3 linked regions of the Oryctolagus cuniculus genome follow. The protein of the gene in region 1 interacts with the protein of each later gene in a biochemical or structural test. Links are inferred from orthologs where the notes say so. Each region holds a gene or a part of one and is shown on either strand. Other genes may lie near its edges.

The links.
Region 2: the proteins of TBP (region 1) and ESR1 form a complex in vitro, tested with the Homo sapiens proteins (2 studies listed by BioGRID). The link is inferred for Oryctolagus cuniculus from reciprocal best matches to the Homo sapiens genes TBP and ESR1.
Region 3: the proteins of TBP (region 1) and MSX1 form a complex in vitro, tested with the Homo sapiens proteins (2 studies listed by BioGRID). The link is inferred for Oryctolagus cuniculus from reciprocal best matches to the Homo sapiens genes TBP and MSX1.

The regions. Positions count from the first base shown.
Region 1 is NC_091436.1:55,523-59,268, forward strand, and holds the start of TBP (TATA-box-binding protein), read right to left. Parts: upstream 2,363-3,746; 5' UTR 2,152-2,362; intron 1-2,151. UniProt on the Homo sapiens protein: The TFIID basal transcription factor complex plays a major role in the initiation of RNA polymerase II (Pol II)-dependent transcription.
Region 2 is NC_091436.1:16,248,041-16,251,703, forward strand, and holds the start of ESR1 (estrogen receptor), read right to left. Parts: upstream 2,871-3,663; 5' UTR 2,736-2,870; exon of another isoform or gene 2,732-2,735; intron 2,470-2,731; exon of another isoform or gene 2,294-2,469; intron 1-2,293.
Region 3 is NC_091433.1:4,416,447-4,420,192, reverse strand, and holds the start of MSX1 (homeobox protein MSX-1), read left to right. Parts: upstream 1-1,061; 5' UTR 1,062-1,306; coding exon 1,307-1,775; intron 1,776-3,746. UniProt on the Homo sapiens protein: Acts as a transcriptional repressor. Capable of transcription autoinactivation.

The sequences.
Region 1 (3,746 bases):
AATCTTAAATGAAAAAAAAAAAGCTTTTGGAGGAACACACCTAGATAATTCCCAAGGAAAATGTGCTATCAAGGCATAATATTTATGAGGCATGGTACACACAGCACAGTGCTAAGGCCAAGTTCAGGTGTATAAATATGCTGCTCAATTTTATAGCCTCTGTAATGTCTTGGACATAAAGCTCAATAAATACTGAGTTGTACCCAATATAGTTTGGCGTGAAAGAAGCTGTGCAGACACAATGATAAATAAGATATTTTTATAAATACAGCAATCTTACCTCTTTAGAATACATTAGCCACAAACTGTGCCTATATCTGGCTTTTCTCAATCATTTCTACCATCTCCTGAAACTACTTCCTGATGAAAGAACCAAGCGACTAGTGAAAAACTTTTCAGCACAGTTCACTCCAACGTGCTGGCTGTGAGAACTGACTGAGCACCATGGGGGTGGGCTGGCTGAGTTAAAATAAAACATCAAGTACAAACACAGAACAATGTTAGCTACCATTATTGGTTTTCATTCCAACATAGCGCTCATAGGTCTCAGGGGTCAAGTTGTTCAAAGACCCATGTGCACCTCAAGTTGTGCTGGTAGAGTAAGCACTCAGATGCATGCTGGATGAACGGAAGAATCATCACTCTGAGAGGGCAAAGGGCCCCAAAAGCTGTCTATCCTATATGCTCATCACTGAAAAACAGACACACACAAAAAGCTCAACTTCTGAAAAGAAATGTACCAAAGATGTAAGAAAACTGTACTTTCTTTAGACGTTGCTGTAGTAACAGAAGTGCTGTTGATGTACAGCCGAAGAGGACACTGTCGGCATCAAGTAGTTCCACGTGCAACTGCGTAACGACTGCTCTACTAGTAACAAAATCAGATACCCGCGAAGTTCATCTCAGAAACCAGCACGCACGCCTGTAACCTGTACCCAGCACCAGGTCTTGCCCATACAACAGCACTTCAAAGAACACACAGAGAATGGATCACAGATGTGTTTAGTCTGGTCCAAACGATTTTGAAATCTGTGTATAATTTTTCACGATACACGCTTTCCATGAACTTCTTGGAGAGCCCTTTAGTAGTGGCTCATGGGTGAACGAACGCACGTACGCCACAGAAGACGGGACTAACAGGCGAGTGCTCGCAGAGAGGGCCTGTTTTCACAAAGCAAGGACCGTGCAACCTGGGTCTGGCAAGGTGAGTAGGAAATCATGAATCAGCGGCTCTGGCAACAGAGAAATTAAACGAGAGACAAGGATGGAGAGAGCAGCGCGCAGCAGCAAGCAACTTGGGGTCACACGGGCAGCAGGCGCAGCACCAGCACCCCAGCTTGGCACGCGTGGGGATACATCGGGGCAGTGAAGCCGAGGGCCGCAAGCCCAGTTTCGGGGTCACTGTCACGGCTGCGGCAAGAGATGAGGGCAGGATCACAGCACCCAACTGCGACGAGGCTGTTCCAGACCCCTGTTCCGAGCGCTCCTCTCACTCCCGGCCACGCGCTCACCGTCTTCCCCTCCCTGCATACTGAAACTGCGTTAGGCGCCTTACTGCACTGACTCTCCCTTCAACAGAGGCTCGCGTGCAAGGTCTTCATCTTCCGGAAACCCAAGACCAGGCTGCGTGTCCCCTGAGGTCATCCAATGAACTCTGTCTACTCCCGCGTCCGCACACGCAGCCAGGCGGGATCCTCTCCCCGAGGGGCCTCCCTGGCCGTCTAAGGACAGAGGTGCGCGTCTGCCTCGGACGTCCACCGCGCCTAAAGCTCGGACTTCCACAAATCGTTAGCAAGTGTCACGCGCGACTGTAAAATAAAACCGACCCCTGCGGGTAGCGAAGCCAGCGGGCACCGGCCAGAGAGGATGGGCGGAGGGTGCCAGCCAGGCGGCGCAGGCTCCGGGTCTGCCCCACCCTCGTGCGGGGAGAAGCCGTTTTCCACCCACAGCACAGCCGCGCACCGGGATGGAGCGGCGGCCGAACGGCCGGTACAGGCCCGAGCGGCGGCGGCTCGAGCGAGAGGAACCTCGGTCCCCGCGGGGCCTGCGCGCCCATTCCGCGTCTCCGCCCGCCACCGCCCCTGGGCCTCGCTGCAGCGGCCGCCTCCGCCAGCGCCCTCGAAAAAGAGAGAGAGTTAAAGGGCCAGGTACCTGGGTGCCGGCAGAGATCATCAAGGGCCTGCGGAAGCGAAGTTAAGCCGCAGGCTGCTCAGGCCCCGCCACAGCAACCCTACCCGACCCCACCGAACTCCAGGCGCGCGCTGATAATGTCACTTCCGCCAGTTCTGTCCGCGGCGTCAGCAGGCTGCACGCGCTGAAGGCGCGGCCATGGTAAGTGTGGGCGCGGGATCCTTCCGGTTTCTCCTGGGCGCTGGGCTCAAGGGAAATGAGGGGCGGAGCTCGTCGGAGTTCCGGGGCGGGGCCTCCTCTCCATAGCCTTTTCTAATTGGTGCTTTCTGGAAGTAAGGAAAGTTAATAATTGAAAAAAGTTTTTTAAACCAACTAGAGGTGTAACCTTGGCAAGTTAACATTTGCCTCGGGGTCTTTTTATTTTAGGATGAGTTCTTTCTAGTCTAAACTTGTTTTCTCTTTGACATTTCTTTTTATTTTGAAAGGTAGACACAGACGCGGAGGAGTCCCCTCCTAGTGCCCAGAAAGCCCTGGCCAGGCCAGTGTCCCGCGTGGGTGGCGAGGACCCAGCCGCGGGAGTGACGCCCGGCGTCCCCGGGCGACGGCGTCGTAGAGCGGCCGCGGGGCCCAGGAAGTAACCGCGTGGGCGGTGCGCGCGTGCTCCTCGCCGCGGGTGTGGGCCGCTCCGCAGCACGCGGGGCACCGGGTTGCGGATTCGTCGGGGCTTTCATTCCGCTGGGGCCGTCTTAGCAGGCTTCGCACTGTCGCCACGCGGCCGTCGTGGTCTTCCCGGCCGCTTCCTTCTGTGGTCACTTGGACGCGACCACGGGGGCAGTTTGTGCTACCAGTGAGGTCCTGAGCTCCGGAATCCAGGACAGTGCCTGGCAGTGCGTTGACCTACGGAGACCAGAGCGAGTACAATACTGGACTTTGTCGAAGACAAAGGCCATCTCTGGCCTTGTTCTCCTTTGCAGCAAAGCACGGGAGAGTTTTACACAAGCCCTTTAAAAAGTCTTCTCTGGTTCCAGAATTGGATGTGACCAGAAGTTAGCCAAACTGGTTAGCCAATCGCTTGCTTGCTCGCATTTATAATGGAACAAATAAGAAAGTGCATAAAGACTTGCCCAATTAACAAACAGTTGTGTCAAGTGACTACTGCCGGCAGGACACCCTGCCACCCCTCGGTGTGAAGTCTGCGTCCTGCTCAGCGTCCTCCTGCGTGGAGGATCTGCTCCGCACCTGCCACTGCTTGCAGTTGGCTCCCTGTGACCCCACTCGGGTCCTCTGCTCATCCTGCCGAGGTGACATTCATTGCTTCCAGTTTGGGGCCACTGAGAGCCAGGCTATGGGAACGTCCCTGTGCGTGTCACTGGCGTGGGAGATGCCGCCGGGAAACCTGTCCGCGGATCCCAAGAAGTATGGGAACGTCCCTGTGCGTGTCACTGGCGTGGGAGATGCCGCCGGGAAACCTGTCCGCGGATCCCAAGAAGTATGGGAACGTCCCTGTGCGTGTCACTGGCGTGGGAGATGCCGCCGGGAAACCTGTCCGCGGATCCCAAGAAGTAAGCTTCTCTTGGAATCCCATCCCTTCCCCCCAGGACGCGGCTCCTCCATTT
Region 2 (3,663 bases), about 16 Mb from region 1:
GATGCGATGGTCCTTACAGTCACACAGGGAAGCAGTGTTAAAGGGAAGCATACCGCAGGCTTCCGGGCTTCCTCCTCCAACCTATACCCATTAACAAGCAGCAGCATTTCAACAGGTGCCATGCATAGCTAGCTGGAGTGACTGCCCTTAACTTTTCAGGTCAAGTTCCCACCCACTATGGTACACGGACTTAAAATCCTAGCACTTGTGGTGCTGACCTGGAGTTCTTAAGTTCTTATTCATGTACTCAGTCAACATTTTCTGAGTACCAGAAGTGGTGTGAAACGCCTTCCTCATATTGAATTTCAAACACTTGAAGATAAAAAGACTTTTAAGGAGTGGCTTAATCTCATTTATTCCACATGATTATATCTAGTAGCTACTGTTAGTATCCGTACTTTGCAGATGAGAAATTTGAGGTCAGAGGTGAAATAAGTTGCACACCTAGAAAGTAGTGAGAGTATGCGGCAAAATATTTTGAGGAATGAATGAATAGGGCAACCCCATTTGTCCTCCAAAATAGTCACAAACATTCAAAAAGAAAAACAAAATTTTCACTGCTTGGTAAGATCCAGAAAATCCACTGACATGCAAGGTTTCACTATATTGTGGTCCACCGAGAAGGATTCAGAAGAAATCTACTGAGACAGTGCCCAGAAAGCAAACGCACGACCAACACTATCATCGCAGCAAAAGCGAACAGTGAAGCACTTGTCTTTTAAAAGAGCACTTTATTAGACACTGTGCAGGGGTGAGGCGGGCTTCACATTCTTTCTTAGGGGATAGTGATGGAGACCCAGCCCTACTAAAGGTGGTAGAACAGAACCACAGCTCAGGTGCCATGGATGAAGCGTGTGCTGTAAGTTCTTATAAACAACATGATGGTCTCCCCAGAGCTGGTCACTCTCCGTCCTGCCTATTTTGCCTTGTATCTAATATGCAACCATGGAACCAAGCTATTCTCTATTCAAAAGAAACTAAAGCCCAACCACCTGGCCCTTTACACAGCAGCTGCTGTGACCAACAGCACTAAACGAAAACAGAAAAATACTCAGAGATGACCCATGGACAACCAAGCAAAAATGGTCAGCAGGTACCTGGTGTAACACTTACAGCACACAGGGTGTAGAGTGTTTGGGGAAAGGAATAGGATCTGGTTAGCTCTAAATCCTTAACTGGATGAGAAACAGTTCACTGAAATCAGAGAGTTGTTTAACTTTCTCTTTGCTGAAAGTGTAAAACACATGAACTTTACCCCTTTCCTTGACTGTCACAAAAAATACAAGTACTTGCAACTGAGAAAAATATCCTGCCAACAAATATAACCTTTGTGTGCTCATATCTAGAATTTTCCCTGCACATGGTATCTCTGATGCATACATATTTATTCCTAATTTCCTCGGAAATCTAACCACCTCTCCAGTATTGTATCCAACCTCTACAGTACTATATCCATACATATCCAGGCCCAGTGGGCAGTCTTCACAGGACAGTAACAAAAATCATAGCAAACATTTGCTTTTGAGAAATAGGAAGGAATTTTGTGAAACTGAAATGGGCTCTCAAACTCTAGATCTCAGACATTCTCGCTCAACTTTATCTCATCTGGCTCTCTGTACATTTTAATTCTGTTTAAATGCTTCTACCTGGAATTCCTAAATCACTTGACATGAATTTGTACATATAGAAATCACATTCAAAACCAGAGGAGTCTCCCAGCAACCTTCTGCTTACAGTTGTTCGGCAAACTTATTCTCAGAGGTGCATAAAACCGCACCTTTGAACAGGAATCAGTGTGGTGATCTAAAGTCCTGAGAGGGCCCAACCCAAATTAAGGAATTTTTTAAAATATTTTTTAATCATCTTAGTATCTACGGGCATGTCTGTGAAAAGAAAATATGATTTCCTTCTTGACCAAACATGAAATTTGCAACTTAAACTAAGGTTCCTGAAACATATGGCATTCCTCTCACCAAAACGAAAGTAGCCTGCCCTGTCTTTCGGGACTCCCACATCCTTACTTGAATAGCACACTCTATGTGGTGGGGTCATTACACACCATCCTACTCCAAAAGTCATCAGTAGTTTTCTTTTCACCTCCAAGAAAACCAAGACAGCAATATTCAACAACAACAACAACAACAACAACAACAACCCTTTCCTAAAATTTTAGGGTGATTTCAAGACAGGCTGTCTCATTCGCGTTATTGCTAGATTGTGGAGCTTTGTAGAAAACCTGACTGCCTTCAGGAAACAAGTAAAGGGTCATTCCGATTGCTTAGTTCAGACTCACATAAGTTACGGCACCAAAGATTAAGAAAACAGGTAGGGAGTTCATGCTGGTGCACCATCAGTCCAGAGATGAAGTTTCAAAATTCCGACACAGTTCAGCCATACAGTATCTCGTAGCAAGAGCTGGATCCAACAAATATAGGATATCTAGGGCAGGCAGGAAGCTAGTCAGTGCTGTACTGAGCAAAGGGTAATGGTGCTGCCCTCTGACTCAGCTGAATATTACTCCAAAAGTGAACTTCCACTGTACCAAGTTTAGAGTTCATATTTTTAACATTGCAGCAATGGTTGCCAGCAACTTTGCAAAATATTCTGGGGTGGTATGAGAAAAATGAACAGCTTTTCACATGAGAGGAAAGCTCTGGGGTTCCAGCCTGCTTGTAAACAGTAGCACATTACAGCACAAGGAAAAATATAAAGAAAGAAGAAATAGGAGTACCTACTTGAGAAGAATGTCATTCAGAGACTGTCTTCTTATGCTACAGAAAGGGGCAGGAGAAAGGAGCCTGAACCTTTCAAGCCTGTGAAAGAGCTTCTGTGCATGGAGCCTGCATTTTCAGTTTTGGTAGACGCTGCTCTGAAGCTGTTATGACCATGAAATTAGGAAATGCAGTAACTCAAAAATAAAGAACTAGCACCACCATTTGACTAGGATTGGAAAGTCTCCTTTAAAAAAAAAAAAAAATAGAGGAGGGGGTGGCCTTCCTTTCTCGAAGCCAGGCCTAACTGTAACTTTCCTAGCACTTCCGTGAAGATAGATGTTTAACAAGGGATGAGTTATGCGTTAATCTACCCCCAATTTTTTACATAATTCAGCCAACTCTTTCTTTACTCATAAATAAAGCTTGAAGTCTAGACAGACGGATCAAGTAGGGAAAAAACTAATAAAGCATTCATTCAGGACATAAATTTTGTTCACCCAAAATTGGCTACAACTGAAAGCAAGGGCGAGGCCATATCTTCTGCAGGCCTTTTCGTTACTTTCTTATTCACCCATGGGCTCCACCGCCTGCTCCGCTCCTCTCGTCACTGATTAATTAGGGTCTCGGCGATGTGCACACGTTTAGCTCCTCTGTGGCTTTTAAACTCTGCCGTATGATCCTCCCCTAAAATGCCTGGCATTTCCTGCAGTGATATAAAGTGGTGGCCTTTTTGTTTGTGTTTGTTTTGAGCATGGAGATAAGCATACTAAAGTAGAAAATGGGCTCAAAAATACTAATGAATTTTTTTAAGTACTGAAACTTTAATAGCTTATAAAGTCCACTGCGGCTTATGTAATACATTCTTTAAAAGACATTTTAAAAAATATATTAGTTTTTCTACAAGTCTTAAGAAAGACAATGTACTGGAAGTGAGAACGGTGGAGGAAAG
Region 3 (3,746 bases), on another chromosome or scaffold:
GAAGCCGCCGGGCCTTGGAGGTCTTTCCACGCCATCCGACTTCTTCCCCTCGCCCCCTCTTTTTTAAAAGCAAAAATGAAATCACGTTTCCTTCGAAATTGGCAGCATCAAGTGTTCAAGACAGGCGCCGAGGAGCCACGGCCAGGAAAACCGCCCCGGCTCCCGCGGCCCCCTCCCCGAAAGGCGCTTCTGCCTCGCGCCACCCGAGACCCAGACACCCGGGCGCGCGGCTCCCGCACACGCGCGGCTGGCGGTCACCTTGGGGCCCGATGAGTGTTGTGCGGACGTTTCTGTTGGTTTCATTCACACACATTCTACACCAAAAAAGACCTGGCGGTTTCTTTGCCCACCGGCCCCCGGAGAGGAGAGGTTCAGAGTTGGGGGAGAATGGCCCTCGTGGGTGCAAACCGCCCAGTGACACGCGGCTCCCTGCAGTCACAGAACCCCAGGAACGGGGCTGTTTGCTGGCAAACTTGAGCCCAGCTCCAAGGAGAGACCGAGGCCCAGGTTCCCGGACCAGGAGGCAAAGTTTCCAAGATTGAAAGGGGGGAGAGAATGAGGGTCTTTTTAGATAAGAAATCAGCGTGTCTTTTTTTTTTTCCCCTGGGATAAATACCCCTGCCTTTAAAGAAAAGAGAGAGGGGGACTATGTTTAAAAAAAAAGATGACCTCAACTCTAATTAGTGCCGTGGAGAGGGGGCCAGGGAAGCTGCCATTCTGGAGAGAAAGACGTAGTGGCAGAGCAGGAAGGGGGTGGGAACGGGGAGGGGTGGGAAGAGGCGCTGGGAGGGGAGCGCAGAGGGGCCGAGCAGTCCCCCGGGAACGCGGAGTGCGAGGCCCGGGATGTGGGGGGCAGGCGCGCAGAGGCCGCCGGGCTCCCGCCGACCGAAGCTTCCCGGCACCCCTCCCCCGGCCCGGCCCTTCCCTGCGCGCCCCCCGGCCCCGCGCGCTGCGGGGCGAGTCCTAGGAGCGCGGCCCAATGGATCGCCCCGGGCCCGCCCCTCGCGCGCTGATTGGCCGCGGCGGCGCCGGCCTCGCCTTATTAGCAAGTTCTCTGGGGAGCGGCGGCCGGAGCCGGCCTCGGCGGGTGCGCCCGGGAACTCGCCCTGCGCGGCGGCGGAGGCGGCGGGCAGCCAGGCCCAGCTCGCCGGGGCTGGCCTTCTGGGGAGGGGCGGGACGCGCGCGCGGGAGGGCTCGCCCGGCCAGGGCCCCGGGCGCTCGCAGAGGCCGGCCGCGCTCCAGCTCGCCCGAAGCCCATGCCCGGCGGCTGGCCCGTGCTGCGGCTGGAGGGGGGGCCCGGCTCTGCATGGCCCCGGCTGCTGACATGACTTCTTTGCCACTCGGTGTCAAAGTGGAGGACCCAGCCTTCGGCAAGCCGGCGGGAGCAGGCGCGGGCCAGGCCCCCAGCGCCGCTGCGGCCACGGCGGCCGCCATGGGCGCGGACGAGGAGGGGGCCAAGCCCAAAGTGTCCCCTTCGCTGCTGCCCTTCAGCGTGGAGGCGCTCATGGCCGACCACAGGAAGCCCGGGGCCAAGGAGAGCGTCCTGGCGGCCTCCGAGGGCGCGCCGGCGGCGGGAGGCTCGGCGCAACCGCTGGGCGCCCGGCCCGGGGGACTCGGCGCTCCGGACGCCCCCTCCTCGCCGCGGCCGCTGGGCCATTTCTCGGTGGGGGGACTCCTGAAGCTGCCAGAAGATGCGCTCGTCAAAGCCGAGAGCCCCGAAAAGCCCGAGAGGACCCCGTGGATGCAGAGCGCCCGCTTCTCCCCGCCCCCGGCCAGTGAGTAGCCAGCGCCCGGGCGGCTGCGGGGGTGGGGGTGGGGGAGGGGCCCAGCGGGGGTGCAGGACCCGAGGGCGCCAGGCCGCGCGCCGGCGCCTGCTCGTCTCCGGCGTCTCATACCTGCCGCCGGTACCTGGAGCCAGTGCCGCGGGGCCCCGGAGAGGGCAGGCTGGGGTTTGCGCCTCTCTGCGCCCCCACCCTGGAAGAGCGCGCGCGGCCTGGCGGAGACGCAGCTCGCCGTCCATTTCGGCGGGCCCCTCGTCTCGGCCCCGCGATGCCGCGAGGGGGGAGGTCCCTTGCCGGACCCCGGGGCGCGGACAGCCCCTCTTGCTGCCCCTTCTAAGCCCCCCCCGCCTGACCTGCATCGGAGGGGCGCGGGCATCTTTTCCGGGCGCCAAGTTTCACTTTCTCCCAGAGTCCTGGCCCCTGGCCCCTAGTGTAAAGGACCCTCGCCTAGGGGCTCCTGGCTCTTCTCAAACTCCCGCCAAGGCCGAAGCGGGGCCCGCGGTTCTTTGGGTGCAGGGGCTGACTTAGGGGGAGGGGGCGCTCCGCTTTCAGGGCAGGGGGCGGGGCGGGGAAAGCGCCCCCTCCGCTCTTCCCCGAGGTTCCCGGGCGTCTGGGACTGGGTGTCCGAACGGGCTGCAGCCGCGTGCGGGGGCCGCTTCCAGGGCCCCGCAGACTCGCGCCGAGATATTTCAGGAGTCCGGAAAATGCCCGAGTTTTCCTCGCTTCCTCCGATTATTTGGCGCCGCATAATAGCGGCCCGGATTGAATGGCGCGGCGCTGAGAACGATTTCTGTCTGGGGACTGCGTGTCTTTGAAAGGCCGGCCCCTCCCCGAGCCTCATGGCCGGAGACCGCGGCTGTAGTTTGCCCTGGACAGCACTGCTCCCCGAGGGCGGCCGCGCGGGGAGCGGGTCCAGGCGAGTCCCAGTCCCCCAGTGCCGGGAGGCGAGGGTGTTTGAACTCGAGATTTCGTTTTACCCACATCCTGGTGTGCCCGGGAGGCCGAAGGATCATCATCTTATTTGTTCTGTGTTGTGATGCTAAAAACAATGTTACATTCAAAACCCGCATGGTGAAACAGCCCGAGTCCGAATTCACTTTTCAAGAGGAAACCTGTGGCCGAGGCAAAGCGGCCTTGGGATTCAGTGAGGGCCTCAGGCCCCCAGGGTCGCCTGTCCACCTTGTCCCAGGAGTGATTTGGTCCACTCGTGTCCAGCAGCCCCGCTGAGCCGATCCAGCCCCTGGCCTGCGGCTAGGCCTCCAGCCGGGTGCTCACTCTGTCCATCCTTGAGGGTTGTTTTGAAGCCAAAAGAAAAAGACAGTTGGACACCGCTGCTCTCTGTGCACTGAGCCACAGGTCCAGCCGAAGCCATGGCCCACGCCAGCCCACGACGGACGGCGGGTGGCTGAAGCCCGAGGCCAGACGCTGGCGGTGGGAGCGGCAAGAGCCCCGTCTCCCCTCCCGATGACACTGTTTGGGAGGACTGACCACAACGGGGGCTCCGGTGATGGCCACCTTCCTGCCCCACTCCTGGGACTGCCCCAGACCCCCTGATCCTGGGAAATGAGCTGGGGCTTGGACATCGGCAGTCTCTGAGCGGCTGAGCGCGCGGGGGCGCGCACAGAGAACCCTGTGGCCAGCAAGGAAGAGCTGAACGCTGAACGTGGCCTTGGGCTCGCGCCACCGCGGTGAACTCCCTGCGCGCGGGCTCGTGGGGCAGGCCGGCCAGCCAGGGCCTACCTGAGGGGCAGCGCCACCAGCCCCAGCCGCGGTGGAGCCTAGGACGCGGGTCTAGTTCTGCCCACCTGACACTTTCGGTTTGCAAAAAGTAGACCCAAACCGCTGGCTGGCGGGGCTGCGGTGGGATTTTGAGAATATTTTCCTGGGGCTGCCCACCAAGGCTCTAGGTAAACAGCAGCAGCGGGCGGCGTCGGTGTGGCCGCTCCTGCCTTGGGGGGCGCGGAC